4 linked regions of the Notamacropus eugenii genome follow. The protein of the gene in region 1 purifies or fractionates together with the protein of each later gene. This does not show direct contact. Links are inferred from orthologs where the notes say so. Each region holds a gene or a part of one and is shown in the gene's direction. Other genes may lie near its edges. The genes, in order: SOD1, TKT, HEXB and PRDX2.

Region 1 (7,029 bases):
TCTATTTTTAAATAAGTTTAGTTAATTCAAAAAATTAAATTTAGTTAAATTTTAGTTTCTTTAATTTGTCATAAAAAAAACTTCTTGAGGCATTTATTTTTGCCACACAGGATTTATTAATGCATCTTTCTTTAGCTTCAAATCAATAAATAGCCACTTTAACTCTACAATATCCCCCTTTTTTTGAGTCCTTTTCCTTCTTTAAAGTCTATAATTAGACATATGCATCCTTAAAATCATCTCACAATGCAAAATCAATAAGAAAAAACCATAGCACCTATGGGAATTATGGCATGGGGCCATAACACAAATTGACATAAAAAAAGAAAGGAACCTAATTTTAAAAGTAGCATGGTTTTATACATGTTAAATAGTTAAGAATAAATAGTGGTGACATGTATGTCCGTGTGTTGCTTGGCAAAGGAATAAACAATTTTATAGTTTCTATTATAGGCTGGGCATTGTGCTGTGATTTACAAATATTATCTGATTTGATCCTCAAAACAACCCTGTGAGATAGGTACTTTAATTATCTCCACTTTACAGTTGAGGAAACTGAAGCAAACATGTTACGTGACTTGCCCATGCTCACACAGCTATGAAGTATATGAGGCTGGATTTGAATTCAGGTCTTCACTAATACCAGATCCAGCACTTCATCCAGCTAGGCACCACCTAGCTGCTTGCTCTGATGAGTTCATGACTTTAGGTGGGGTGCATAAGATAGGGGACCTTAGTGGTGGCAGAAGTGGGCAGAGGAGATGTAGAGTGTTGTGGCTCTCCTCTGCCCACAACCCTTACTGCACCAGAAGATATAACAATAAATACAGAACTTTGGTTTGAGATGTCAAATGAGTGTGGGGTGTTGTTGCTGTGGTTGCTTTAGAAAAGTTCAACACAAAAATAGCAAAACACAATTTTGCAGGCTAACAGTGCTGTGTGTGTGTCTGCATTTTGTACATTCCCACCTGGTTCAGTTCAGCTGGATGCCTTTTTCGATATTCACCTAGAGTTTCTTGAAGACAAAATAGTATATAACAAATGTGGAATTCGAGTTATGCTCCAGTAGTTCCTTAATATATCAATTGCATTGGGACAAATTTGAGTTTGCAAAATAAATGTTACAGCAAAATTGACTGGTGCCACTCATCTCTTGCCAAACCTCCACACTGGACTACCTCTCCTACTTAACTAGCTGCTGAAAGCAATAGGAGGGAGTCTCAAAAGCAAGCTGATTGGGTACGCCACAAATTCATGTTAACTAACCTTAACTGGACCATCACTGAAGCAAATCAGTCCTTTTATTTCTCCCAAATTGATTCTCTATCTCAGTCCCCACTTAACTATTCCAAACCTTTTTCTTCCTTAAACTTGCCACACCTCTCCCTTGTACTCCACCTCCTCAGATGAGGACCTTGACTTTTGCATCATTTCCCACTCTCTCCTTTCTTCCATCTCTGACAAAGAGGTGACCCTTCTCAGGAAGGCTGACACTTCTACATGTGTATTTTATCCTATCCCTTCACATCTTCTCCAGCAGAATGCATCTTCAATCTTTTCCCTTCTCTTTTGAATCTGCAGCATCTCCCTATCTACTGGTTCCTTCCCTTTTGCTTTCAAACTTATTCGGGTTTCCTCCACCCTTAAAAACAACAACAAAAAAACCCAAAACCTTCATCTCTCCTGTATTTTTCAATCTTTTTTTTTTTTTTAAGGAAGACCTCTCTTCTCATTTGCTTCCCACCCCTCTGTAATCTAGCTTTGGACTTCATCACTCAACTAAAATTTTTCTGTCCACAATTACTGTTGATCCTTTCCTCGCCAAGTCTGGTGGTCTTTTCTCAGTCCTCATCGTCCTTGATGTCTTTCCTCCTCATTTCTGCCTCCTAATTTCCCTGGTGTTCTTCAAGTGCCAGCTAAAATCCCACCTTCTATCAAAGGTCTTTTCTGATCTCCCTTCATTCTTATGCCTTCCCTTTGTTGATTATTTCCCATATATCTGGTGTATGGCTCGTTGGCAAATAACTGTTTGCATGTTGTCTCCCATGTTGAGACATGTGAGCTCTTTTAAGAGCAATCACCATCTTTTGCCTTTCTTTGTATCTCCACTGTGCATTTAGCACAATGCCTGGGATACAGAGCATATTTAAAAAACGTTTACTATCTTTTGTATTTGGCACTGTTAACTAACGTTCTCTTACTAGATACTCTCTCTTCTCTAAATTTTCATTAGATTTTTGTTGTTGTTGTTGTTTCTCCTATCTGCCTGACCATTTCTCAGTCTCCTTTGTTATCTCCCTATTCACATTACACCCTCCAGTTGCAGGGTGTTTCAGGGTTATGCTGGCTACAGCTTGAACTGGCTCAGGCAGTGGTGTGTTGGTAAACGTTTAACAACTGAGAAAACATCTGAGAAAAAAATGTGATCTTGACACACTTTTAAGTTTGACCTGCATTATTAACATTTTCTCCATCCCCTTCTTAAGTCTAGTCATCCTACAAAGCAATAAATCAAACACTGATTTGTAGTGTTTGCCATTTTGCAAGGTGTAAGTGCTTACGTTGAAAAGTTAACATGGGCTGGTAGCTTGAGCCAGCTTCAGCACACCACTGGTGGATTCTAGATAACTTTCTATCTTGATAACCTTATCAGCTCCCATGGATTTAACTATCATTTCTATATAGAAGACTGAAATATACAGGATGTTCCATATGTCCTGCTTAAAACTGCTCTTTGACTTTTGGGGACACTGTATAAATCCATCCCCAAACTGCCCCCCAAGTTTCAGAGCTGTAACACTAATTGGTCCACTGGACATTTTAAACTAGATACCCCAGAGACATCCTAAACTCAAGGTGGGAAAAACAGAACTCATTTTCTTTCCCCACCAACCCAAAGACTTTAAGGTTTGGAGCCTGGCTATTATTCTGGAACCCACACTCTTCCTCAACCTCATCTAATGGATGAGTTGGCAGATCAGGCACTGTCCCACTTTTCACATCTCTCACAGCTACAACCTTGGTCCGGGTCCCCTTCACTTCTCCACTAGATGAGTGCTAACAGGTCCCTTCCTCAGATGTCTCTTTAAGCCGGTTCTGCACATGCTGCCAAAGTAACTTTTCCTTGGGCTCAGGACCTGATCAGGTGACTCTTGGGCAAACAATTCCACGGGCTTCCTATTGCCTGAAGGATAAACTATAATGATTTAATAATATTATAAAGGATACAATATGCATATTACATACAGGTATATATGTACAATATACCTATATATTATATATAATAATACAATAAAGGATAAACTATAATAATGATGTAATAATATTATAAAGGATATAATATGCATATTACACTCAGGTATATGTACAACATACCTATACATTATATATAATAATATAATAAAGGATAAACTATAATAATGATATAATAATAAACAATACACATTATTTAAGCTTTTTAAAAAATCTTACACAACCTGGCCCTAACCTGTCTCTTAGCCTGACTGGGTATGACTCTCCTTCCTACACTCTGAGATCCAGCCAACCATGTTCTTTACACGGGATGCATCGTTTCCCCTCTCCGAGCTTTTGCACTGGCGGTCCCCCGAGCCTGGTGTGCACTCCCTCCTCAGGGCTGACTCCCAGAATCCCTCTTTTTCTATAGGGCAGAGGTCGAGCTGCACACAGTCTTTTCTGATTTTCCCCTCCCCCACCCAATGCCTTCGCTCCCCAAGGACCGTTACTACTTGGCGTTTGTGGTTTTTTAATTTTATATATCCTTATGTGCTTATGGTCCCTCCCATTAGAACTGGGGCTCAGTAAGAAAAGAGGCTCTGTCGGTCACAGGCGATAGTAGGCGCCATAGCGGACGATCGATTACCGCTGTCCAAGGAGGGGAGAGGCGAGAGGGGGGCGAAGGGCACACTTCTCACGCGGAAGACCTCGTGAGAAGGGCCCGGGGCTTCTCGCGCTTTCTACCGTAAGTACAAGCGAAGGCGGGCAAAGGGCGAAGATTTCCAAGCATTACGGGGGGCCCGGCGCGAGCCGCCTTCCTGATTGGTGGCCGCCTTCGGGGAGGGCGGGAGGAGTGTTGATAGGAAGAGCCTTGTGATTGGTCGGCCAGGAGCCAGGAGGCGCGGAGTGACGGCAGTGCGTGCCCTTAAGTGAGGTGCTGCGTAGCCCGCGGCTTGGCATTTCTCCCCTCGCTCTTGTGCTCGTCCTGCTTTCTCGGGTATCTGGTTCTTCCCTGTCGGCATCCGTCTCGGACGTGGAAGGGCCGCGCTCGTGAGCCATGTTGAAGGCCGTGTGCGTTCTGAAGGGCGACGGCCCCGTCCAAGGCACTATCCACTTCGAGCAGAAGCAGGCAAGGGCACAACTAGGGGCGGGCGGATGCGTCCTGCGCTCTTCCCCGGGGCCGCGGCGGGCCTCCCTCCTTACCCTCCCCCCTCGCCCCCCCCGCGGCTCGGCCCCCGCCGCGTGGTGCCCGGAGTGCCGGCCGTCCCGGCCGTGCCCGGCTCTGCCCCCGCCGCAGAAGGCGTGGCGGGGCGGAGCGTGGGGGGAACGGGCCCGCGCGGGGCGCTCCTCGAGACTTTGCTCCCGCGGGGAGAGCCGCGGGCGCGCTGGCGGTGCTGGCTGCGGAGCCCGAGTGCTGAGTCATGGGGGGGCGGGGTGGGGAGGACGGGGCGCCCCCGCCCCCGGGGGTGAAGGCGTGTGCACCCTCGGGGCCCCCGGACCGGAGTGGGGCGCTGGGGAGGGCAGGGGCCGGCCCGCAGCGCAGCCGGGACCGGGTTAAAGACCCGCGCGGTGTGGGAGGTGGCAGGGAGCTGGGGTGGCCGGGGTTGAGCAGGTGAGCCGGGGAAGGGTGAAGACGCAGGTGGGAGTCCGGGCCTGGCCCCGAGAAGAGGGAAAGCTCGCTCTCGCCTCTTTTCCGGCTTTAAGCCGCCTCCAGTCTCCTCCCTCTCATGCCCTGGGGGCCGCTTGGGGAGCGGGGCGGCCGGGAATCCCCACGACGTCCCCTCCTCTCCCGGTCCGGCCCGCTCTGCGCCCCCGGGGCACGGCCGATAAGGGCGGAGAAGAGCGCGCCAGAGCGGAGATCCGGGAGGGGACCTCGGGGACTGGCCCGGGGCCGCCGCCTTGCCAGGGAGGGCTAACGGTGCGAAGGAGTCGGCAGCGGCCGGGGCCGGGGCGCGCAGCCCTGGTGGAGGGGGCCGTCTGCCCGGGGCTGACCTGGGAGGGCAGCATCGGGGTGCTGGGTGGCGGGGAGCAGGTGGTGGAGGGCTCGGGGGGCCCTGCTCTTCCTTGGCTCTCTTCTGTCTTGTCTTGTCACGCTACTTCCCTGCCCTTCTCCATCCTCCTTCTTGACTTCATCGAAATAGAAAGAAGGCGGTCCTCGAGCGTCCCCGTCTGAGTTTTTGGGAGATTTTTATTTCCTCGGTCCCGAATGGTCATTTTGCACTGCCTACCCTGTTCTATTTTCACAAGAAATCCGCACACTACTAGTTCCGTTTCCCAAAGAGATCAAGGAAAAGGAGAAGGTCTAAGAATACTTAGAGCACCTTGTTTCGTGGTGGCAAAGAACTGGAAACTGGGGATGGCCATCCATTGGAGAATGACTGAGCACACTGTGGTAATGTGACTGATGTCATGCTTCTGTGCTAGAAGAAATGAGGAGGAAAACCTGGGGAGACTTGGATGAACTGATGCAAAGTGAAGGAAGCAGAGCGCAGAGAACACCGCACACAGAAGCAGCGGTGTTGTGGGGTGATCCACTGGAAAAGGTCCGGCTGCCCTGCTCCGGGCAGTGACCCGGGATAATGCCAGAGGACAGAAAATGAAAAAAGCGACCCACCTGCAGTCAGAACTGGTGGTCTCTCTTTTTGGCAACTAGAATAACATGGAAATGTTGCATGATTTCACATGTATAACTGGTATCCTGTTTGCTTTCTCAAGCAGTGGGGGCAGGACTAGAGGCATGGAGAGAACTTGGAACTCAGAATGTTTAAAACAAATAGTAAGTAGTTTAAAAAAGAACCAAGAAATCTGTAATATGTGGTCCCTTCTTATGGGTTAGGAAACTCAGGGGTTGTAAAGGATGTGACTTGCTCAGTTATGAATTTGTAAGTAGCAAAGTCTGTACTAGGATCACTGCCTTTTTGTATCCTTTGATCATTTGTCTGTTTGGGAGTAGCTCTTACGAAGTTTTCTTTCAACTGAAGAAGGAAACCAAAGAAATCTTCATGGAGGAGGTTGTACTAGAGCTGAGCCCTGAGGAAGAGAAGGCACAGATGAAATTGTGTTCAGTCTACAGAAAAACACAGAAAATAGATAGTAATAAATTTTAAAACTTAGTATTATGAAGTGGAATAATGTGAAATAAGGATAGAAATGTAGATTATAACTAGATTGGAGAGGTTTAAATGCTTGTATTCTTATTGTGCAATAAAAAACCATTGAAAGTTTTGGAAAAGGGTAAGAAGAAAATGAGGTCATAACTGTACATTTAATAAGATTATTTTGGTAGCAATCTAGATTGGGATGAAGGATGAGGACAGAGCAGCTACATAGTAAGAAAAATTCAGGGAAGAGTTAGTGAGACCTTGATTTACTGTGGTAGCAATATGAGCAGAGAGGGGGATCTATGTTTGAGAGAGATTGGAGGCATAACTGGCAGGACTGTCAAATGTATCGAACTCTAGAATAAACTGTTCTAGCTTCATATGTTGGTCTTTTAGAGCCTTTGCTAGAAATTCGAGGGGCCTTTAAATTCATTCTCAGGAATAGTTTCTCTGAGAGAGAAATCAAAGAAATTATATGCTTGCCCAAGTACTTAGTGAATGTTGGTTTTATCAGTGGTGTTTTTTGCAACAGTAATGCTGATACAGGAGAGTCACATCTTTAAGGCTTAGTGAGAATAGGAAAAACCCACATTTGACGCCCTTCCTGGAGTTAATTTCAGTAAGTGTTTGTTGATCTCTTACTATGCCAGTAGGTGCTCTAGATGCAAAGAAAAAAGAGAATGGTCTCCATTTT
Region 2 (7,983 bases), on another chromosome or scaffold:
GAAAAGAGAAATATTCTGTCATTGGCTGAATGTTCATATTGAAGGACATTCCAGAACTGAAATCTACCAGTTTTGAGGGCAAGAGCTAGATCCCAGTAAAGGTAGTTCCAGACTCCTGCAAGGCCTCAGTGCTACCTCTTCAGCACCCTCTGATCCTCTGACGGAACGCTGGAGCCATGAATTCCAAAGCCTTTGTTTAAGGAGGGGTCTCAGGCTAGCCCTCTTTTCATTGCCCACTCAGGTTTTGCCCTCTTTTGGAAGACTTCTGAGTCCAAGACTTCAGACATGGGAATGGGCCATCTGATGGCTCTCAGCTCTGCCCATTCCAGTTTACTCTCCACACTGTTGCCTGAGGAACTTTCCAGAAGCACAACTCCAGTGCTTTACTATTGCTGTTAGAATCAAACATCAACTTGTCTGTTTAGCCTTGAAAACCCTTCATGAGCTGGCCCCAGATCCGTCTTTTCAGATTCACTGGACACTACACACTTAGACCTGGCCTGGGGCGGCCTCTGCACCTCCTGTTTCTGTGACTTTGCTCTGGCTGTCAAAGTGCCAGAAATGATCTCCTCCTCACCCCACCTCACACAGTCCATCTTCCTTTAAAGTGAGACAAGCACCTCCTCTTCCAGGGAGCTTTTCCTGATGGCCCCAATCATTCATGCTCTCTCTTCCAAAGATCTTCTGCTTAACTACTTTGTGTGCATCTGTGTCTGTCTGTATTAACCACTTTATGTGTGAATGGCTAGATTCAGCAACTTTGTGCTTCTGCATTTGATGTGCATTTGCTGTCTCTCCTATTACAAAGCAAGCTCCCAGTGAGGAGGGATTGATCATTCTTTGTCTTTGTTGGTCTAGTACCCAGCATAGTGCTGCCCTAGCACATACTGGGGGTGGGGGTGGGGTGGGGTGGCTTAAGAAATACTTGTTCCAGAGCAGCCAGGTGGTGCAGTGGATAGAGATCTGCAGTCAGGAGGCCCTGAGTTCAATTCTGAGCACAGACACTTATTAGTTGTGTGATTCTGGGCAAGTCACTTAACCCTGATTTCCTTAAAAAAAACCCAAGAAGAAGGAAAAAGAAATACTGGTTCCTTGGTTGAACTTCAAAAGGCCCCCAGTTGACCCTTACCAGCCTTGCCACTCTCTTACCCTCTCTTTCTGAATCAGTTTCTTCTTCTGTAAAATAGGGATCCTAATGGAACCAAATGCCCCAACCTTAAAGTGCTAGATAATTATTATCTGGGATTCAGAGCCTGTGCTTTCTAGATAAACACCTGACATATGGGAATTCTTTTACTCTGTTTTTAGATTGGGAAGCTCCTCATCTCACTCATTAATGGCAGCCTTCCCTTAACATGTAATAATTAACTAGATCATAGCTTCTTTTACATTAGCTACATTTTAGATTGGCATCGCTCAGATGGGACATTAGGAGATGCCCATGTCTCATCAGCAACTCCCTTTTTTGTCCTTTTAAAATATTCTATATGCTCAAAAGTTTAAAAATGGATGTTAAAAGTAAATTTTAAAATTGCAAAAATCCCAAATGTTTTATTGATAGTCTTTTAAAAACCACTATTATCACCTCCCAATGACTTTCCTATACTTTGCCTCTTCATAGACCTTCTTGTAACAAATAAATATGGTGAAGGGAGCCATCTCCAGTCATCCAGATCAATATCTGGCCACTGGATCCAGATGGCTCCAGAGGAAAAATTGAGGCTGGTGACTTTGCACAGCCCTGCCTCATTTCATTCTAATTCACTTATGTGTCATGGCATCACCTCCCTGATGTCATGTCTTCAAGAATGAAGGACAAACAACAACCTATGAGTAGCACAAGCTACCTAACTGGTCAGTTTCAGCTGGGCAACTCAGGACCTCTCCCTCCCTTCCCCTCCCCTCCCCTTCCCTCCCCTCCCCTTCTCTCCTCTCTCCCCCTTCCCTTCCCTTCCCTCTTTCCTCTCCCTCAGTCCACATGGGGCATGAGGGTGCTTGACCCAAAGGAATGTAAGTTTTGATGGTTGAAACCTAGTGACAAATCTAGGTGTTTACTAACGAGATTTCTTTCTTAAAGACCATGCCTAAACCCAATTCATTCTAGCTCTCAATAATTGGACTAGAACGGATCCCAGACCAAGCACCACTTAGTGGTCATTGTTTGAGCCCAGATTGGATCAGAGTGAATGTAAATAGTAAAGGTTTCTGTTTTAACCAGAAACCCAGTGGGTCTTCCCCTCCCTGATTTATTTTTTGATTTGGCCCATTTCTTAACTAGCTTTCATCACTGAATGGATGTTGCCTCAGTCAAAGTGAGAACTCTGAAAGACTTTATCTTAAAAAAGTCAAGATCTCCCACTGCATGCAAGGCCATGTCCAGTTTTCCTGATCTATATCTTGCCACTGGACCCAGAGGAAAAAGTAAGGCTGGTGACTTTGCACAAAGCTCTCTCATTTAAATCCAGTTCACTTGCAAATAGCATCACCTTCCTGATGATGAGATCCTCTTTTAGAAGGAGAATGAAGGAAAACAAGAACAACAACAAATATGGTCAAGCAAATCTAATTAACAGACATCTGCAAAGGTATGCCTCATTCCTCACCAGTAGTCTACCCCCTGTTTACCAAGAGTCAGGAAACATAGCAGCGTCCTGTTCAAACCATCTAAAGCCCTGCATTGAGACTAGGAAAATCTTAATTTCCTCTCCAGGGTCTTCCATTAACCCTCTGTTAACTTAATAATAATAACCTTGGGCAGATTACTAGACCTTTCCAAATAACTCTCTTATCTGTACAGTAAGGGGTTTGATTGCACCACTTTCCAGAGTTATCTGTGGGATTCTTCTACAGCTCATTAACCTATCTAATACTGATTCTTACTTGGCACATGTTAGAGATGAGCTTGACATACAAAAACAGGTATCAAGAAAAATTTATTTAAAATGGAGTTCAGAGTAGGGAAAGCCTACGTTCCTTCCCCTGAAGGAATGGGTAGCTTCCAGCATGGTCACTGGAAGGACCACAACTGGGCCAGGATGAGGCACGACGCTTATAGAATTCTGAACTTCAGATTTCCCCGATACTGTCCCCTGGCCATGTGACTCAGTGTTCTCCTCTCAGATAGGCCCTTCTTCACACACCTCCTTGGGCCTGCGCATTAGTTTCTGACCTCTAACCTGTCCATGCTAGGTCACAACCCCAACTTTCTTACTTCTCACAGCACATTTTAACCTTGTCCCCAGATTTAGGGGGAGCCTTCTGTTTGGGAGCATATGGCTTCTGCTTCAGTGGTTACAACAAACACGGTGGTCTTCGGGTAACATCTATCAGAAAAACAGAATTTTAGAGCTAGCATGAACTTTAATGGGCAGCTAGGTAGCACAGTGGATAGAGCACAGGGCCTGGAGTCAGGAAGACCTGAGTTCAAATGTGACCTCAGACATTTGCTAGCTGTGTGACCTTAGGCAAGTCATTTGACCCTGCTCTGTTTTCTTATCTGTAAAATGAGCTGAAGAAGGAACGGCAAACCAATGCAGTATCTTTGCCAAGAAAACTTCAAAAAGGGTCATGAAGAGTCAGACATAGTTTCTTCTGCAATCTAGTGGATAACTGGGTGTCTACCCTCTGCTTGAAGTTCTCCCAAAGATGGGGAGCTTACTCCTTCCTTGTAAGGTCTGTGAATTTTTTTTTTCTGTATTTCAATATAATTGTTTTCCTTCAGAATCCTATGTATGTTGTTTTACACATTGAAAAACATGATTCTGAGCAAGAGTTCCTCCATGGTTTGCCAAACTGCTGTCCAAAGGGTACATTACAAAAAAAAAAGTTAGGAACCTGGAATCCCTTGTCCATATCATGTAGTGAGAAGAACTCTGTTGTGGTCAGGGGGACTGACATCTAACCCCAGTTCTGTGCTATACACTACTTGAGACCTTGGGCAAGTGACTTCCCTTCTCTGAGACTCGGTTTCCCCCTCTGTAAAAGAGACTAGATGATGTCTAAGGATCCATTCAATTCTTAGACCCTTTGATTCAGTGGGCTTATGAGAGGAAGGCACAGCCCTGACCCTGCCTTTCCCCTCACCCTCTTGGTAAAGCCACTATGCAAACTTGGTTAATGCACCATTGAAGCCCAGGGCAGGCCAGCTGCAGGGGCCTGGAAGCAAGGAATGCTTATTCATTCAAAGGACATCTCCAGAAGAGGAACAGTCTGGGCCTACTGCCAATGCTGAGTAAGTGTATGGCACTGGGTCATAGATTCTTGAGCCCAAAGTCACCTTTTAGATTATCTAAAGTCCAGCTGGGGAATCAGAGGGAGAAGGCTGAGCCAACAGCTAGCATATGGCAGAAGAGGATACAAAGAGTCCAGTTCTGGAAGCCTTGGGCCTGGGTTCAAATTGGCCTGCTCACCTTCCTGCCTATGGAACTTTAGGCGATCACTCCACTTTTTCTAGCCTCCTCTGCTGCATCACCTGGAAAATGAGAAGTTTGACCTGGAAGCCTTCCTAGGACTCCTCCAGGTCTACATCTGAGTTCTTCTGAACCCAAATCTTTGGGCTTCACATCCAGAATTCCATACCCATGTTGCTTCCCCACACTTAGGAAGCAACCAGGCCCCTGCAAAAGCAAATGCGAAAACAGGAGCGTCTCTGTGGGGGTGGGGAGGGGGGAGCCATCCCTTCCCCCAGCTCTGGACTGAGCCCAGGGTGCCACCCCACAACTCTCCGTGGGCCCTTCTAGAGCGTGTGTGGGCCTTCCTGGACCAGTTTCCTCCACGGTAAAAAGCCCTAGCTAGTGTTCAAGGCTCTGGGAGCTCTTGAGAAGGGCGGACAGGTAGGGGTGAGGATGGGGGCCGCAGCCCAGGGACCGTGCGTGCGTGAGACAGGGTCAGCACCGATCTCTGCCACTCCTCCCCGCGTGGCCCCGGCAGGGGCCGGCCCTGAGGCTCGCTCCTCCTCCTGCCTTTCTTCCTCTTTCTCCTCCCCGTGCCCCTGCCCACGTCCCCAGCTCCTCCCGCAGGTAGGCCTGGTCATAAGAGGGCGCGCTGGGCTGACCCTCCTTCTCGCCCTCCTCCTGGCTGTTCGTCTCCCCTTCTCTGCTCGTACTGGGCTCGGGATCCGCGCCAAACCCGCTTCGCCATGGAGGATTACCATAAGCCGGACCAACAGAAACTGCAGGCACTGAAGGACACCGCCAACCGGCTGCGCATCAACTCCATCCAAGCCACCACCGCGGCCGGATCGGGGTGAGTCAAGGCTCCCAACCCCCAGACCCAGGCACGGAAAGCGGGGGTTGGACGGGGGAGCCGCTGTAGCCCAAGCTCTTGCATGAGGGTTGAGCGCGGGCATGGAAGGCAGAAGGCACGGGTTCGGGACGCTGCAGCAGACGGGCTCCCACTTAGAGGGAGTGCGGGGAGGGGAAGGCTGGGTGCTGTGGGACTGTGGGGCTGCAGCAGCCGGGGCCGCGATCGGGGTGAGTGTGGGCATCGGGCCCCCGGCCGGGGGAGGGGAAGGCTGAGGGCAAGAACTCTGGCTGTGGGCTGCTGCAGCCGGGGCCGCGATCGGGGTGAGTGTGGGCATCGGGCTCCAGGTCCCACGGCGGGAAAGCTGGGGCTGCGGGCTCCAGAGGCTGCAGCAGCCAAACCCGGGGCTGATCCGGCTTGGGGAGCGGAGGGCGTGCTATGGATCCCATATGAGAGAGCCCTTGTGGCCATGCTGGCGCTGTCCGAGCAGCCTTTCCGGGTGCCGGGGCCTTCCCGAGCTCGAGATCCCCGCCCGGAACCCGAGGCTGGCTCCGCCCATCCCTGGGCAAAGTCCCTGAGGAGGCCAGGCACGTCCCGGGTGACCTGGGACAGAGGCAAGGAGGACTGGGGCCAGGATGGGAGCTGGAACATGCCTGTCCTTCCTCGCCCCCATCCCTAGTCAGATCCCCGCAGGCTTGGGGCCCTTGTAGTGGGGTGGAGACTGAGCTCAGCCGGACTGAGCTGGGGGCCCCCCTCCCGGTCGGTGTAGTCTGTGATGGCGGGAAGTTGGGTGGAGAAGGCCAAAGGCCCAAGGCCGTTCCTAGGCAGAAAGGTTGCTTGGCGGGTGGAGGTGCAGTGATGGGGGGTAGAGTGCTGTACGTGGGAAAAATGACATCTGAAGTCTGAAGCCCAGCCTTCAATCCCTACTTCTGCGAACCAATCAGTAAGCTTTTACTTTGGACCAACTTTGTGGAGAAGGGGGGACGGTGGGTGTGGCTGGGTGGTGTATTCGAAGTAGGTCTGGAGGCGGAGGTTCATTTTAGAGTTAGGGAGTTCAAATACCACCTCAATCCGCGAACCTTGATCAAGGTCCTACCGTGTGCTGGACTCGGATACGGAGACCAAGGTGAAAACTGAACTGCCTGGGTATGGGGAAGCTCACTTTCCCCTGGGGATTGAATTTAGCAGATATGATCCCCTAAGATTCCAGCCGTGATCTTAAGGCTCCTGGAGGCCTTCTCTGGTTATCTCCCAGGCCTTAGGATTGGCCGGATCAACTTTCCCTGGCCACACTGATGAGTTTAGGGGTAGGGCCGAGCACGTGGTCGAGGCTGGAGACCAGAGGTTTAGACCACGTGATCTGACCATGAAGAGGCTACTTTTATCTTTTGTCTGTGTGCAGTTACAGGTTGTCTTCAAGTTAGAACAGGAAAGGACCCAAGAACATTGGTATTTTACATTTGGGGAAGTTGAGGCCCCACATAGCTCAAGAGACATGCCTAGTAGTTGATAAATATGGATCGCTGAAAGGCAGTCAATACACAGGCCCTGGTGGGGGTGGTACCTGAAATGTGATTACGAGGAGTTTACAAATAAGGACCCACGAGGTTAAATGACTTCTCCCAAAGCTCCAAGGAAATAATTAGAGAAGAACTTGTAGTGGAAAGGAAACCATCTTTCTTCTCCGGACTTCATTTTCTCTACAGTTGCGGGTTTTTTTCAATGAGCAATCATTTTCTGCCCCTCTTTCCCCCCATTGGAAAACAAAAAAACACAGCCTTCCTAACAAGTTCAGGGTCAAACAAAAACCACTGAGTGTTGGCTGTGTCCCCCAAAAGGCTTTGTCATTCAGACGTCTGGCTCCTTCGTCCTTCGAGGGTCCGGACCTGCTTTTAAGCGACTGCAGACTTGATCTCTGGAGGCCGGTTTCCTGGCCTCTACCCTGGCTGCTCCTTCCCAGTTCAGGCTGGCTCCCACCCTTCTCATTAAAGTGAAATGACTACTAGATGACCTGCAAGGGCAACTCCAGCTCTACCCGTCAGGGAGAAAGGAAAAAATAACTGAAGAGGAAAGAAAAAAAACTAGAGGAAGAATGCCGAGGGGATGCCAGACTGGCCAAAGAATGTATTTCCTGGGGGCCCAAACCGGCTTATTTTCTTTTTGCACCCAACAGTCAGAACCAATTACCGGCAGGATTTCTAAGGAGTCCTAGGGGAGATGCTGGGCAGAATGCAGGGCAGTTCCGCACGTCTGTGATGTTATTCATTTATGAGCTACGCCCTCACCTGCTCCCCAGAGAACCTCAGCTGCCCTCCAAGGTTAAAACCCTTTCTGAGTGGGCATCAGGAACCCCCCCACCCCCAAGAAACCCCCATCAACCTAGCTCTAATTTTTTGTGAGGATTGTAAGACTGCCTAGGAGTCAGGATGACCCGGGTTCACATCTCGGTCCTTTTTTAGCTGTATGATCTTAAGTCACTGAACATCTAAGCCTCAGGTAAGTGTTCGGACTGTTATAATGACTAGTATGGAAATGTTTTACATGGTAGCGTGTAATATATAAATAGATAGAGCTATATCAAATTGCTTACCATTGTAGGGAAGGGGGAGGATGGAGGAAGAAAAATTTGGAACTCAAAATTGTTAAGAAAAATGTTAAAAATTGACTTTAAATGTAATTGGAAAAAAAATGCTAGTTAAAAAAAACCCCTGTAAGGTTTAACTTAGTTCTTAGCTTGGGCTA
Region 3 (7,272 bases), on another chromosome or scaffold:
ATTGGCAGGTCTTAACTTCCTAAGTACGTCCTAAGCCTATGGATTCAGTTATTGTCTACAGAGGTGAAAACATCCTCCTATTGTTCACACACTTAGGATAACTTGGCTTTCTCTAGAAGATACTGTTTGCAGAGTACTCTCTGGGTGCCCCCACACACACTTCTTATGTGTGTCTGCAGTACTTAGCATAGTAGCTGATTAACAAATGTTTATTGACTTGAGTATTGGTCATGCCACTCTTTCTAGTGCTGGTTGCTCCTTTCTTGATTAAGAGGAGACAACATACTCTTTGTTCCCACAATAATGTCCAAATTCTCCTTCTGCCACCATCATTCAGCAACCTCTTGTTTAAGGGTCCCTCCAAAAAAAAAGATCTTCATTTAGAAAAGTCAAGGTCACCCACTGAATCCCAGGGCCATCACCAGTCATCCTGACGTTTGTCTTGCCACACAATTTCAGTGACTCTGGAGGAAAGAGTGAGACTGATGCCTTTGCACAGCCCTGCTTAACTTACGTCCAACTGGTGCATATATGAAGACATCACTTCTTGATATTCTTGCTCCTCTTTGAGCAGGAAGGATGAGCAATGGCCACAAGGTTCCTGCCATCTGTGTATCTCCCCTCTTCCAGACCCCAGTGGTTATAATCTACTGCTTACTCTTCTTCCTTTCTCAGAGAATTCATTGCCTGGCTTACCATATTCCTCTCCCTCTTACTTGGGGTCTTCAACATATGTGTTGGTGGTCCTTCAAACACCCTGGCCACCAAGTTCATCATTTTCCTCAATTCTCATGACCTAAAACTTCATTCTACCTCAAGGATAGTCATAGCTTCAATTTCCATTTCCTCCATGGTGCCAGCTCCACCATTTTCAGTTATGAAATTCCCCTCTCTGATCATATCCTGGCCTTCCCACTCTCCCTCTACCTCTCTCCTCCTACATCTATTCTTCATCTCTACTGTGACTTCTAGTACCTTCACTCTTTTCTTTCTTCTCCTCACCCCATGATCCCTGTACAGGCCTTACTTTCCTTCTTTCCAAGTCTTGACCCCCTTGTTAACTCATTGTACTGTACATTATCTTCCACCCTTGACTCCTTTGCCCACTTGCCTTCCCTTATACAGACTTCGGTAATCCTCAGTCCTGAATCACATCTACTAACTGCCTTCTATGCTCCCACCTCATGGAGAATGCTACTGGAGAAGTGCTGACAGGGTACATGACCAACTTATGATATTGAATCTCAAGTGGACACTCACTGCTGCACAGCAATAATTTTAGTCTTCATTGATTGATGCTATAATATGACTCACAGTAGCTATTCCAAACCTTCCTTTTCCAATTCATAGTCCCAACACCATTCCTACCTCTGCCTTCCTTTCTCAGCAGTCACTCTTTACCTACTTTACCAAAAAAAGAAAAGCCATCTGTTAGTAGTTCCTAGAAAAGAAATAAAGGAGCATCAATTAAATATTTCAAAATACACAGAAAAGAAAAAAAATTCAAACACAGACAAACAAATCAAGCTACATAATAGATTCATAGTTTCACATGTAGTCCTTTTTTTTTTGTTCTCTGTGTATGAAAATGTTCATGCTTGTTAAATTCATTTAAAAAAGGTTTAAAAAGAATGTTCCAATTGCATTGTTGACCATTACTTCCTCCTAGATATTTCCTGCTCTCTTGGCCTTTAGTGCATTATCTACCCCGCCCCTTCCCTCGTATATACCCAGGGTTGTCCTGGGTCCCCTTTTCTCTCTCTCTGCCTCTTTCTCTGTCTCTCTCTGTCTCTCTCTCTGTCTCTGTCTCTGTCTCTCTCTGCCTCTGTCTCTGTCTCTCTCTCTCTCTCTCTCTCTGTCTCTCTCTCTCTCTCTCTTTCTCTCTACTTCTGCTTTCCAAGATTTTATCTATTTTCCTGGATTCAATTATAACTACCCAGATGTCTCTCAAATCTATATATATAGTCCTAATCTTTTGAAAGCATCTCAAATCATCTTCTGACTAAAACTCTCCTAAATATCCTGTAGGATTCTCAAATTCAACATATATCCAAAGCAAAATTCAATATTTTCACCTCTCTAAATCTACTCCTCGTTTAAAATTTTCTGTTTCTGTTGAGGGTGCCAATAGTCAGTCAGCAAGCATTCATCAAGTATTTACTATGTACCAGACACCATCTTTCCAGTCACCTAAGTTTATAACTTCAGAATCATTCTCAGTTCTTCCTTATAGCCCTTGCCCTCCGTATCCAAAATGAATTGCCAAGTTTTGCTGATTTTTCCTTCTCTCAAGTCCATTCTCTCTCCACTTATACTTCTATCACCCTAGGGTAGGCCCCTGTAACCTCTTACCTGTACCACTCTACATTCCGAATTGGTTTACTTGCTTTCATTATGCCCCATTCTAATCTATCTTAAACTGTCAAAATAATCTTCCTAAGGTGGAGATCTGACCATGTCATTGAACACTGACTTGGAGTCAGGGGACCTGGTTTTGAATTTAGTTTTGTTACTTATTAGCTGCATGACCTTGAACAAATCACTTTCTCTAGGTGTCAGTTTTATCACCTATAAGATGAGAAGCCTGGATTATAGATGATATAGCTCTAAGGTCTTTTGTGGCTCTGAACAATCTGGAACTAGAAAACCTTCATGGAGGAAGTGGCATTTTGAGCTGAGTCTTCCAGATAGCTCTGGAGGGGGAAATGAGAGTCAGAAATCACCATCCAGATGTTGTGTTTCTTCTTAATTTTTGAGGAGGACCATGACATTGGGGAGATGATGTTGACTTTGATTTGAGTGAGGAAGGGATGTGCAAGTTCACCAACCTCACTTCCTCCTCCTGAGCCATCTGGGTCCAGTGGCCAGATAGTCATCGGGACCACTGGAGATGACCTAGGATGCAATGGGAGATCCTGGTTGTTTTCGACTCAGGCCTATTCAGTTACTCACTTTTGAGTGAGGTAACTCCCTTTCAATGAATACGCCTCTTTAAGAAGTAAGTGAGGGATAGTCCCTTTAATTAGAAAAAAGGAAAAAAAAAATCAAGCTGGGAGGGGAAGACCCTCCGGGTTGCTGTTCCAAAGAGTAACAGTTACCATTGACATTCACTGTAAATCAGGAGGGTCCAAAAAATAGGCATTAAGTGGAGCTTGGGCAGGATCTATTGCGGTTGAATATCTGAGCTTCAGAGTGAACTGGAGGGACAGGAAAGGGAAAGGATGGGAAGGAAAGGGGAGGGGAGGGGAGAGGAGGGGAGGGAATCTAGCCAATAAACCCTGGCCATCAAAATTTACCTCCCTTTGGAGAGTGGAACTGGCGGAACTGAGTTACTCAGCTAGCTGGGTCCCCATTCAAGGGAACTCGGTTTACTCTTAGGTTGTGTTTGTCCTTCGTTTTTGAAGAGGACCATGACATCAGGGACATGGTGACATGACTTGCAGGATCCAATGGGAGACCCTGGCCCTTTTAGGCCCTTTCAGGTACCAAACGAACGTAATCCTATCAACAATACACAGAAGGATGTGACAGGCCTGGGCCTGGAACACAAAAAGCAAGCAGATCAAGAATGTGTTTGGAAAATGACTAGTTTCCTTTCCAGCAGAGAAAGTCAGGAGGACAATTCTACTCAACAGTGGAACATAAGCAGAGATCTGCAGATAAATGCTTAAAAACAGGCTCTGGGAGGGAAAAAATGTAAACGCAGCCCACTTAAGTTTGTTCTGCTTTTCTTTTCTAGACAATCAACAAAGCAATAAATCAAGCAGGGGTGTGTAGCAGTTCCAGATTGCCTAAGTGACCATTCGAAAAGCCCCTAAGAGCTGGCGCAGCAGCTGGCTGCGTAAACAGGTAGAGAAGGCATGTCCAGCGAACCTTCCCACCCGCAGCGCCTAATCCAGTGCCTGGTCAATTGTTTTTTAAACCAGATGTGACTTCATCGCGTATGGAGCATCAGGTGAGCGTCTTACTCCACCTGTGCAGATCCGAACCTTTGATATAATGGCCTGGGAGCCCGCCAAAGCCTCCGAGCCCGCGTGGGTCTAGGCTAGAACTTGGTGCCTCGGCCCTCGCCCTGTGCCCACGGGGTTCAGCTGCTTTTCACAACTGCTCAGATGCAATCCTCCGGCACCCAAGGCGCTGAAGGCGCTGCGCCCCCGGGGTGCCCAGGCAGGCCCACACACAGCCCCAGGCCCCCTCGGCCCGCTTCCCGTTTGGGCCAGCGGGACACGAGATGGGTCACGTGAGGAAGGCGGGGCCGGGTGAGGGAAGGGGTGGCCTTGGGGCGTCTCCCGAGCCTCAGCTTCCCCGGGGACGCAGGATAAGAAGCCGGGGTCTGCAGGAAGCAGCCGAGCCTGGCCATGACGCTCCCGGTGCTGTCCAGCAGCGCGCTGCTGCTGGGGCTGCTGCCTCTGCTGCTCGGACCCGGGGCCCCGCTGGCCGCCGCCCGCCGCCAGGCTCTGTGGCCCCAGCCCGCGTCCGTGCAGCAGTCACCCCGGGTGCTGTACCTGTCCCCCGACAGCTTCGAGATCGCTCACGGCCCCCACTCTTTCGAGGACTCCAATTGCTTTCTGCTGGAGGAGGCTTTCCGCCGGTAAGAACCCATCCCCCATGCCCCTTCTTCCGGGTGCCTGCCTCCCGTCCTCGGGGAGTCGAGGTTTGCACCGATTCTCCAGAGCTGGAAGTGAACGGGAAAACTGCTGGGGCCGGTGCTGCTTGTTTTTGTGGCAGGGTGCGCAGGATACGCAGCCCCTGTTCCGTAGATTCTCCAGGGCAGCCCGAGATCCCAGTCCCGGACTAGACACTTAACCTGTATGGCTTCTGTTTCCTTTTCTGTAAAATGAGGGCCCCTTCCAGCCCTGATGGGTTGTTATCCTGTGAGGACAAATAGCCTTTTTTAAAACTTGGTTTTTCGAGGCAGTGTGTGGAGGTGTGTGACACTGCAAAGATGTGACCCAGCCTGAGAAGAGGGAGAGGGTAGGGTGAGGACGAGCCCTGAAAACTGGGAACAGCAGTCTGTTGAGGATAGTCTTGAGAGAGGTGCTAGATTGAATGCACGTCCTCTGTGCGGACCAGTGGCTAGTGATTCTCTGCAGCCTGTGAAATAAGTAGCAACAGCAACTTGGAAAGATTTTATAAAGATAAGTTGAAGAGGCAAGTGGGAGAAAGGCCTTCAAAACTCAGGTAGTAGATAAAGTGTGTTGAAAAGCTTCATTACACCACATTCTGGATCTAGTGGGAGAAAGCAGAGAGTCCAGGTGGCCTCCCTTAAGGGCCTTCTCTGTCACTTCCTAACCTGTGGGACTGTGGGCAAGTCAAATCTCTAGAAGGAGGATGGCCTGCGAGGTTGCCTACTGCCCTAAATCTCTAGTCCTCTGAATAAGAAAATTGAGGAGGGGTCCTTCAGGGTTTATCGTGTTCCTGCTTCTGTATTCTGGGTCAACATAAACACTGGCTTAGAATAGAAAGAGAACTATTTGGGGGGCTTTTTGTTGTCTTGTTTTGTTTTGGAGACTGGGTTTCCCCATCTCACTCAGACTGGAAGGGCATCAGCCACTCACTGGCCCAGTCCCAGTGCTGATTGGCAGAGAGACTTCACCCTGCTCTGTTTTTCTCACCTGAGATGGCTCACCCCTCTGCTCCTCAGGGCCACCACATTGGTGTCATTACTGTGGATACCACAGGCTTTCATCCTTCTGCATCTCAGATCTCCCAAACTCATGGGATCCTCCAGCCTCAGGCTCCTCATCCACAGGGACTGCAGGTGTGCACCACCCAGCCCAGTGGACTTTTGTTTCTTTCTTGCTAAGGACCCCTTTTGCTTATCAGAGAAAGAATTTGATGACTTGGTGTTGAGAGGGAATCTGTAAGAAGGCTTACATCACCCAATTCACTCTGGAGCTTATAGACTGGACAAGAAGTCCCCACCCACCCAGCACAGAGTGAATGTAATAACTAAATAGTAATGTTTCTCTTTTACCCGGGAACCCTGAGAGTCTTCCCTTCCCAGTTTGATTTTTTGTTGTTGTTGTTAAAGGGGCCACCCCTTGAGTAACTTAAAGAAGCTTATTCATTGAGTCTCACACAAAGTAAGAATGTGATAAGACCTTAGGCTGAAAGGGCCAGGGTCTCCCATTGCATCCTGGGCCATCTCCAGTCATCCTGATGAATATCAGGCCACTGGACCCAGATGGCTCAGGAGGAGAAAGTGAGGCTGGTGACTTTTCACAGCCCTCCCTCACTCAAATCAAAGTCAACTGCAAGTCATGTCATCATCTTGATGTCTTGGTCCTCTTCAAGAACAAAGGACAAACACATTCTGGGACAAACTAGTATTTTTTTTCCTTCCATGGGACAATCAGATGACTACTACAGTTCTTATTGAGTATGAACCTGTGAGTTTTGAAAGGCAAGAGACACTGCTGAGGGGAGAGAAGCTTCAGTCTCTTAAAATATGAAGACCTATAAGATTTTGTAAAAAGTAAAATTAACTATTAGGTTTCAGCTACCTTTGGAATTGGAGAATTACTGAAAAGCATAGGGTTGCAACGCTTGTTATCTTAGCTACAGTGACTTGAAGGGCTTTCCTTATCTAAATATATGTAAACACTGTAGGCAAAACAATTGCCGTTAGAAGACTAAATAAACTTAGATTAACCAGTTTATCTATAACCAAGTAATCAGAAATGTCAGAGGAAGGAGTTCAATTCAGGTCCTCTCACCTTGTGTTTCTTTCTACTATCTGCCTTTTGGTATTTCATCATACTTAAGAGAGACATTAAATTGGTGACATACCAAAATAATGCTATAGTGATAGACAACAAAATTGATGTGAAGGAGACGCCTACTCTTTGAAGAGCTGGCACATGGAAGTAGGATTAAATTTATTTGGCTCCAGCAGATAGCCCCAGCTAGTGAGAACTAAAAGGGAAGCAGGTTTTGGCTCAAGGAAAACTCTCCTTTAACTGACCTGACTCAAAGACACGGGCTGCCTGGGACAGTCGGGAGATTCCTATCCCTGGAGGCCTTTTGGGGAAGTTTAGATAATTTCCAGAACACATCCAGAATGTTAGAGAGGTTTGTGCTTCAGAGATTAGGCAGACTCTGGGTGACCTCTGAGTTACTGATCGCTGATTTCTGTGATTTATAAATTAGATAACAAAAAACTGGAACCTGAGCAAGCTATGATAGTAGTATTTAAATAAAAAAAAGGAGGGAGAGCTGGCTGACCTAGAGAATTTACCTCATAATCTCATCCATGAAGTATTTAATTAA
Region 4 (7,096 bases), on another chromosome or scaffold:
AACCTCTCTGTGCTTTGTCTGGAGGCAGCTAGGTGGCAGAGTAGATAGAGTGCCAGTCCTGGAGTCAAGAGGACTTGAGTTCAAATCCCAGCTCTGAAACTAGTTGCATGACCCTAGGCAAGTCACTTAACTTCCATTGCCTTCACACAGAAAAAATGCTTTTTCATCTGTAAAATGAAGGAAGTTGATGGCCTCTATGATCCCTTTCAGCTCTGAACCAATAATCCTTAATTGTGTAGTCAATCTAAGGAAGCACCTTCTAACAATTAGAGCTATACAAAAGGGAAATGGGTTTCCTCAGCCAGGGTTGAGTAAGTTTTACCCTACTTGAAGCCGGCAAGCAAAGGATGGGTGACCACTCCATGGAGGGGGATGTTGGGTGAGGTATGTATTGGGCTAGAAGATGATCCCCGAGATCCCTTTCCAGCTCTGAGATCCTGTGCCCTGAAATCTAGTGTTCTTGCCCCTACTCACATTGAGTGGCACAGGAGTCAATTTGCTGCCCACCCACAAACAGCCTCTCACCGCCTCTGCATGCTGGTGGAGATGAGGTTCGGGGACAGAATGTCCAAGGCCCAGCCCACAAAGGTCCGGGCCTGATCTAGTTTCCCAAAGAGTCTCTCTCTCTCCGCCTCCGACAGGGTCTTTGAGTCTGGCAGTGTGGAAAAGGGAGAAGTGCAAGGAGGAGAGGCTTAGTCACAGGGGCACAATCCTTCCCCACCTTTCACCCCCTCACCCCACAGCCCCTGGAAAGCCATCCGTGCAGCACTCACCTGCCACCTTCAGAGCCTCCAGGGCGCCCACTTTGGACAAGGGGCAAAAGCAGATGCCGTAGACCATAGGGCCTGGCAAAAGGGGACAGGTAGAGTCAGATGCCTCCAGACCCCGGATCTTGACTCCCACAGCCCAGAACCTACTCTCCAACCACGGCCCAACCCCGAAGCAATCCTTTGGTCCAACTGCTCAACAACCAGGGCCCACCGCCAGGCAATTTGCCACCCCTAAGAAGTGCCCACCTTGGGGCAACCCCCAACCCCTCAGCAAACCGCCCCCGGCTCGGAGCCCACCCCTCCTACAACCGATACACCCCACAGCCCTGGTGCAACAATACCCCCTAGCCCGAAGGCCACCCTCACCCCCGGGCAACCCCACCCCCACTCTCCTCCTCCCCCAGCACGCTGGCACCCACTCCCACCCAGAACAGGCCCCCGGCCGGCCTCATCAATGCCCAGGCAGCAGGCCTCGGTGCGGCACAGCTCCGGCACCGGCGAGCTCAGACGGCAGCTGCCTGTGTTGTCCCGCTCAAACTCCCCCAGATCCATGCTCGCAGCAAGCCAAGCGGTCTTGGACACTGGCTGGGAGATCCCGCAAATGCGCGGATCCAGGCGGGCTTCCCGCCCCCGGAAACCTCCAAGCCAATCCTGAACTTGCTGTTCGTCCTCGTAGCTTTCTGGGACTTGTAGTTCATCAGCAAGAGCGCCACCTAGCCGTGCGTCCTAGAATTTCAGGAACTGGGAGGGAGCTCAAAACCCATCCGATCCAATCTCTCCTCTTAAGCATGATGCTCCCTCCCTTTGATCATCATCCACCAGTTATCTATCTGCAATGCTTTTTGACTGACTACTGACTAACTGAAGATCTCTGTTTCCAAGAAGTCATTTGCCTGTTTAACACACACCAAGACACAGCCCTGTTTAAAGAGTTCCAGAGGCTCTCTATTGTTTCAGTTACAAAATACAAACTCCTTTGCAATTTAAAGCCCTTCACAACCTGACATCTACCTTTCCAAGCTTTTTATACTTTGTGGACAGCCATCCAAACTGGCTTACTTTCTTCTGTCCCTCACACATGACCTATCCTATCTCCCCTGAGTTTACACAGCCCTGAAATGCGGTCCTTCCTCACCTTTACTTCTTAGAATCTTTAGCTTCACAAGTCAGCCCAAACACCTTCTCCTACATGAGATCCTGCCAGATTCCCTAACTCTGTTAGTGCTTTCTACCCTCTCTCCAACGAATTAATCTTGCATTAACTTTTTATATACATACGTATATATACACATATGCTATATGTGTATTACATACATACATATGTGTTAAACACACTCCCCCCCATAGACTATAAGATTCTTGAGGACAGGGACTTCCATTTTTGTTTGTATTTTCTGCTTCTCCCTAATAAATGTTTACTGATTGACTAATCATTCATTGGATTGATCTAGTCCAAGCTTCTCATTTTACAGGAGGGGGAAATTGAGAACCAGAAAAGGGAAAGAACTTGCCCAGTGTCACAAAGCTATTAAATATGGCTAGGATTCTAAACCAGTTCTTTTGGCTCATTCTGGGAGGCAGCTAGGTGTCCAAATGGAGTGGATAAAGTGCATGGATAGAGTCAGGAACTCATCTTTGTGAGTTCAAATCTGGCCTCAGACACTTTCTAGCTGTGTGATCCTGGGCAAGTCACTTAACTCTGTTTGCTTCAATTTCCTCATCTGTAAAATGAGCAAGAGAAGGAAATGGAAAAGCACTCCAGTATCTTTGCCAAAAAAACCCCAAATGGAGTCACCAAGAGTTGGACCCAATTGAAATGACTCAGTAACAATAGACTAGTATTCTTTTCATCGGATCAAACATTTCTGTCCAGGCCTCCAGAAAAATAGCAGCAGTAAGAACTACTATTTGAAGGCCTTACTAGGAAATAAGGAAAAATCTAAGGTAGCACCACTAGGATGAGGCCATCTCAGCAAACATGATCTTTTCCACTTCTGCTGTCTCCGAGCACTAAGGGCCTCTCTTAGTAGAGTAGGCCCTGCCCCCATAGAACTAGGATCTGCCTCCTGAGGCCCAAGCTGGTAGGCTTCCCTCCAGTTGATTCTTCCTTGAGCTGTGGCATGTAGTAGGTGTGGCTATGCATCTTCCTGGACCTGCTGGAGTGGCTTTACCGCAAGGTTTAAAATTATCTTTAATAACAACAGCAATAATAGAGATGATTACATTCTGATCTTCAAAGTATTCAGGGTAGGGTAGGCCTCAGGGGAAAACCTGCACCCCACATGCTGCAGATAGACAAGGGTGATATCATCCCAGGAATCCCCAGCTCTAGGGCCCCTCCCTCTCAGGATACCCCTTTCCCAAGTTCAGATGCTTCTCTCTTCCTTACCCCAAACCCAGCTGGGATGGTAATGTACACACACAGGGCCTCAAGTCTCCTTGAGTTTTCTATCTTCCTTTCTCCTTCTCTGGGTTCTGGAGTTTGCTTTTGGCCATGCTCACTCTGTGTCCTCAAACCCTCCGGTTGCACTGGCCTGGTGAGCTGCTAGGACAGTTGTTATAACTGCAGGGCTGGTGCTGCAGGAGGCTCTCCCTGTCCAGAAATACAGGTGCTGCAGATGCGCCCATCACATCCTGCCTCCGCTCTTGAATTCCCAGGAGACACTGGCAGGTCCAGGGGCCCCATGGACCCAGTGGCAATTCTCCTGGCTCTGGGGGAAGAAAACATCAGTCAGCCAGGGAGCCTGAACCTTGACAGGGTTTCTTCTACCATCTGAAATTTCCAGGCTTGACTGGGATACTTCCCAATATGCCAAGCGTCTTAACAATATCTGTTGAATTGAGTAATAGGACCCGGGGAGAAATCCTGGCAGATTTCATTGTGGGGGGTGATATGTGTATACTTGTGCGTGTGCGTGGGATGGGGGGTTGTAAATCTTTGCTAAGGAGAGGGGTACGATTTCAGGGCCAGTGCACTGTATATGAGTGCTTCTGAGTTTCTTCTGAGTAAACCTGCACGCTCCCCGTGCCCCGCCCCACCAATGGAAGACTCCTTGAGTTACTGCTCATTGATGTGTAACATCTGGGGAGATCAAGTCTGGAGGCTCTGGGGGTTGAAGGCATCTCACTCTTTACCCAGTTCTGTCTCCCAAGAATCCCCAGAGCCTTGTTCTCCGAAATAGTGATGGTCTGGGCCTGGGCAGGTTCGGGGCCGAGCAGGAGCAATCTCAGGGGCAGTCTGGTCATCCACGGCCCCCTCCTTCTCTATTCAGTAGCCCCCTGAACCGCTGTTAGTCGCTGGTCCAAGGTTCTCCCTGCGCTCCGTTATCCGAGCTGCTCATCAGGAGGGACAGGCGAGAGGAGTGGACAAGGGGGAGGGAAGAGGTCAGCGGCCCCCGCCCCTCAGCTTCGGTATATTCAGGTTTCTCGCCCCCCACCCCACACCCCCCACGACGCATCAGTAGGCCCGCCCAGGCGTGTCGCGTCCTCCCCCAGGCTCGTTCCCATACGTCCCTCCCAACTCCTCCTCGTCTTCTACCCCCCCTCCCCCCCACGGTCTGGCTTTAGGTGGTACAGGCCGCGGATAAAAGGCGCGGGCGGCGGCCTCTTGGATTCGGCTTTTGGTTTCCAGACTGCTACTGTTGCGGTCTAGTAACACGCGCTATCTTTGTAGGCTCGGAGCCCGCCCTTCTTGCAGGTACAGTACGGTGCAGTGCGGCATGGTGCGGTAAGGTACAATGCGATGCAGGTCCTTCTGGGCCGGGCCAGTTCTAGGCTAGGGGAGTGGGAAGCAATAGAGGCAGCCTGTGACTCCCCTTTATCCAGACAGATTGTGTTCTATGCTAATCTGCTACTGTCCTGGTCCTTCCCTCTGCATGGAGCAAGAAACGTTCCTCCCCGCCCCCCCCATCCCTGCCTTTGTTCTTTGTGGGCTATTAGGAACTGAGAGCCCAGGTGAATTCTCCTCCACCTGTCCCCTACTCAGCAGGGAAACTGAACCTTGAGAGAAATCTAGACGTCTCTTTGTTCCTGCTCTTGAGGCCTAACTCAGCCTGACTAAGGGTCCTGGGAGGAGGTGAAAGATCTTACAGCCTGTGCCTGGGTGCCCAGACCTGTTTCCCTGGTGGGGTAGGAGCAGTGCAGAGGAGGCAGGAGGGCTGGGTCTGAATTGCCCCCTTTCCCTATGGGACTAGCTTAGTCTGGCCCGTGTGCCCAAGTCTCTTGTGTTCAGCCCATGGAGGGAGGGATAGGGGCTGCATGTGACCATCTTTGTCTGACCCACGTGCCCAGTCTGGCCTCGGGAAGTGGGGGAAGGGAGGTGGTGCTGGGTTGCACAGCTCGGGGAAATGCGAATCAGGTGCCCTGGTTGACCCTAAGGGGAAAATCACTTTTTCCAGTCATGTCCTCTGGAAATGCTCACATTGGAAAACCGGCCCCTGACTTCCATACCACTGCTGTGGTCGATGGGGCTTTCAAGGAGGTGAAGCTGTCTGACTATAAAGGTGAGAGATAACAACCTTAGAGGTCAGAGACACTGGCCCCTTCCCCTCTGGAGGAGGGAAGTCAGGGTGTGAGGAGATGATCCTATCACCTGGAGAGTGGTAGGGGAAGGGGCCCCAGCACCTGCTTCTCACTCCTTTTATTCTTATCGCTCCAGGGAAGTATCTGGTCATATTTTTCTATCCACTGGACTTCACTTTTGTGTGCCCTACCGAGATCATCGCCTTCAGTGATCGGGTCTCTGATTTCCGTCAGCTGGGCTGCGAAGTCCTTGGTGTGTCTGTGGATTCCCAATTCACTCACCTGGCCTGGTATGATTCTGGCTAGGAGAAGGAAGATGGAGAAGGAACTCTGCCCTATCTGACTTTGTGCTTCTACCACCTTCTCCCACTGGAAGTGTCACTGGCTGGCACCTCCTGTCTTTTGCTAGGGAATATCCTGTGGCCCTGTAACTACACTTATTGGAACAAAAGGGTTTCCAAAGCTGAGTTGCTGGGGTCCCTTTGTAGTAATTTGAATTGGAAGGGACTTTGGAAGACATTTCTTTCAGCTCCCATCATGTGAAAAAGAAAAAAAAACAGATTTAGAGAAGTTAAGAGCAATGGCTTTTGATTCACCAAGTACCAGAGCTGGCATTTGAACTCAGGGCTTCATACCTTATGTCCACTCGTCGATTGTTTCAACCATACTAGGCAGTACTTTCTGTTCCATCTTCCTCAGAAATAGAGAACAGCATCTTTCTCTTCCTGCCTTACTACTCCCTCCTGGGTGTGGTAGGTTTGGGCTTTGACAGCCCTGCCTGCAACCCCTTTATCACTTACTCAGGACTCTTAGGGAAGCCCTAATCTGTTGCTCAAGCCCTTGGGGAGAAGGGAGGAGGAGCCTCTGAGCTGTGAAGATAGCTCCTTTCTTTGGAGAGTAGGAAAGATAGTCCCTGATTAGGGAGAAGGGGACTCCATGGAGGTAAGTAACTTGGACACTTCTTTCTCAACCTCCCTAAAAAGGATCAACACCCCTCGAAAACAGGGTGGCCTGGGTCCTTTGAAAATCCCCCTGCTGGCAGATGTAACCAGAAACCTCGCTCGAGATTATGGGGTACTGAAGGAGGATGAAGGCATTGCCTACAGGTATGGTTGGGGGACCGTCTGTAAGTATGTCTTGCTCTGTCCCTGATCATCAACAATTTAGGAGTCACCATTCTGACTGGTTCTTAGTTTTTGCCACCCCCACTTTTATAGTCATGAAAACAGACAATCTTTGAACTACGTAGAAACAGCAGGGAGTTGCAAGGTTTTAGAACTAGAAGAGAACTTGGAGGCTATATTATCAAATCTTGTTTTGCAGGAACAAAAGCTGAGGCTGAGAGAGTTGAAAGGACTTAGATAAAGTCATACAAGTACTAAGTCTGAATTCAGACTTGGGGAGGGAAGGTGATCGAGGACATAGAATATTAGGAGCCAGACACTTCCCCCAAAAGAAAGTAAGTCTCAGCCCTTACAGATGTGGCAGAAGAATGGGTTTGGAATTAAAATCTAGTCTTCTTTCTACTGAACATGGTGTTGCCCAGTCCTGGATGACTTCCAGGGTCTTATACTAGCTCTTCTCCATTTACTCAGGGGCCTCTTTATCATTGATGCTAAAGGCCTTGTCAGGCAAATCACTGTCAATGACCTGCCTGTGGGTCGATCAGTGGATGAGGCTTTGCGACTAGTGCAAGCATTTCAGTACACAGACGAGCACGGAGAAGGTGAGTCTTGTGTATTCCCTATCCTACCCCACTCTTCCTTGGGTGTGTTTTCCACTTCCAAGGTGGCTACCCTATGGAT

What was found.
Region 2: the proteins of SOD1 (region 1) and TKT purify together in Homo sapiens (affinity purification with mass spectrometry; 3 studies listed by BioGRID, with this or other methods). This does not show direct contact. The link is inferred for Notamacropus eugenii from reciprocal best matches to the Homo sapiens genes SOD1 and TKT.
Region 3: the proteins of SOD1 (region 1) and HEXB purify together in Homo sapiens (affinity purification with mass spectrometry; 3 studies listed by BioGRID and IntAct, with this or other methods). This does not show direct contact. The link is inferred for Notamacropus eugenii from reciprocal best matches to the Homo sapiens genes SOD1 and HEXB.
Region 4: the proteins of SOD1 (region 1) and PRDX2 fractionate together in Homo sapiens (co-fractionation; 3 studies listed by BioGRID, with this or other methods). This does not show direct contact. The link is inferred for Notamacropus eugenii from reciprocal best matches to the Homo sapiens genes SOD1 and PRDX2.

What each region holds. Positions count from the first base shown.
Region 1 is NC_092876.1:422,104,717-422,111,745, reverse strand, and holds the start of SOD1 (superoxide dismutase [Cu-Zn]), read left to right. Parts: upstream 1-4,029; 5' UTR 4,030-4,291; coding exon 4,292-4,363; intron 4,364-7,029. UniProt on the Homo sapiens protein: Destroys radicals which are normally produced within the cells and which are toxic to biological systems.
Region 2 is NC_092874.1:478,488,758-478,496,740, forward strand, and holds the start of TKT (transketolase), read left to right. Parts: upstream 1-4,967; 5' UTR 4,968-5,137; coding exon 5,138-5,244; intron 5,245-6,159; exon of another isoform or gene 6,160-6,184; intron 6,185-7,983. UniProt on the Homo sapiens protein: Catalyzes the transfer of a two-carbon ketol group from a ketose donor to an aldose acceptor, via a covalent intermediate with the cofactor thiamine pyrophosphate.
Region 3 is NC_092875.1:467,785,285-467,792,556, forward strand, and holds the start of HEXB (beta-hexosaminidase subunit beta), read left to right. Parts: upstream 1-4,258; 5' UTR 4,259-4,358; coding exon 4,359-4,591; intron 4,592-7,272. UniProt on the Homo sapiens protein: Hydrolyzes the non-reducing end N-acetyl-D-hexosamine and/or sulfated N-acetyl-D-hexosamine of glycoconjugates, such as the oligosaccharide moieties from proteins and neutral glycolipids, or from certain mucopolysaccharides.
Region 4 is NC_092875.1:78,124,456-78,131,551, forward strand, and holds the start of PRDX2 (peroxiredoxin-2), read left to right. Parts: upstream 1-4,088; 5' UTR 4,089-4,467; exon of another isoform or gene 4,468-4,471; coding exon of another isoform or gene 4,472-4,491; exon of another isoform or gene 4,492-4,502; intron 4,503-5,167; 5' UTR 5,168-5,169; coding exon 5,170-5,272; intron 5,273-5,427; coding exon 5,428-5,581; intron 5,582-6,274; coding exon 6,275-6,397; intron 6,398-6,886; coding exon 6,887-7,017; intron 7,018-7,096. Other genes in the region: RNASEH2A (ribonuclease H2 subunit A), read right to left, coding at 526-652, 774-845, 1,196-1,322; THSD8 (thrombospondin type-1 domain-containing protein 8), read right to left, coding at 3,282-3,481, 3,906-4,039, 4,472-4,491.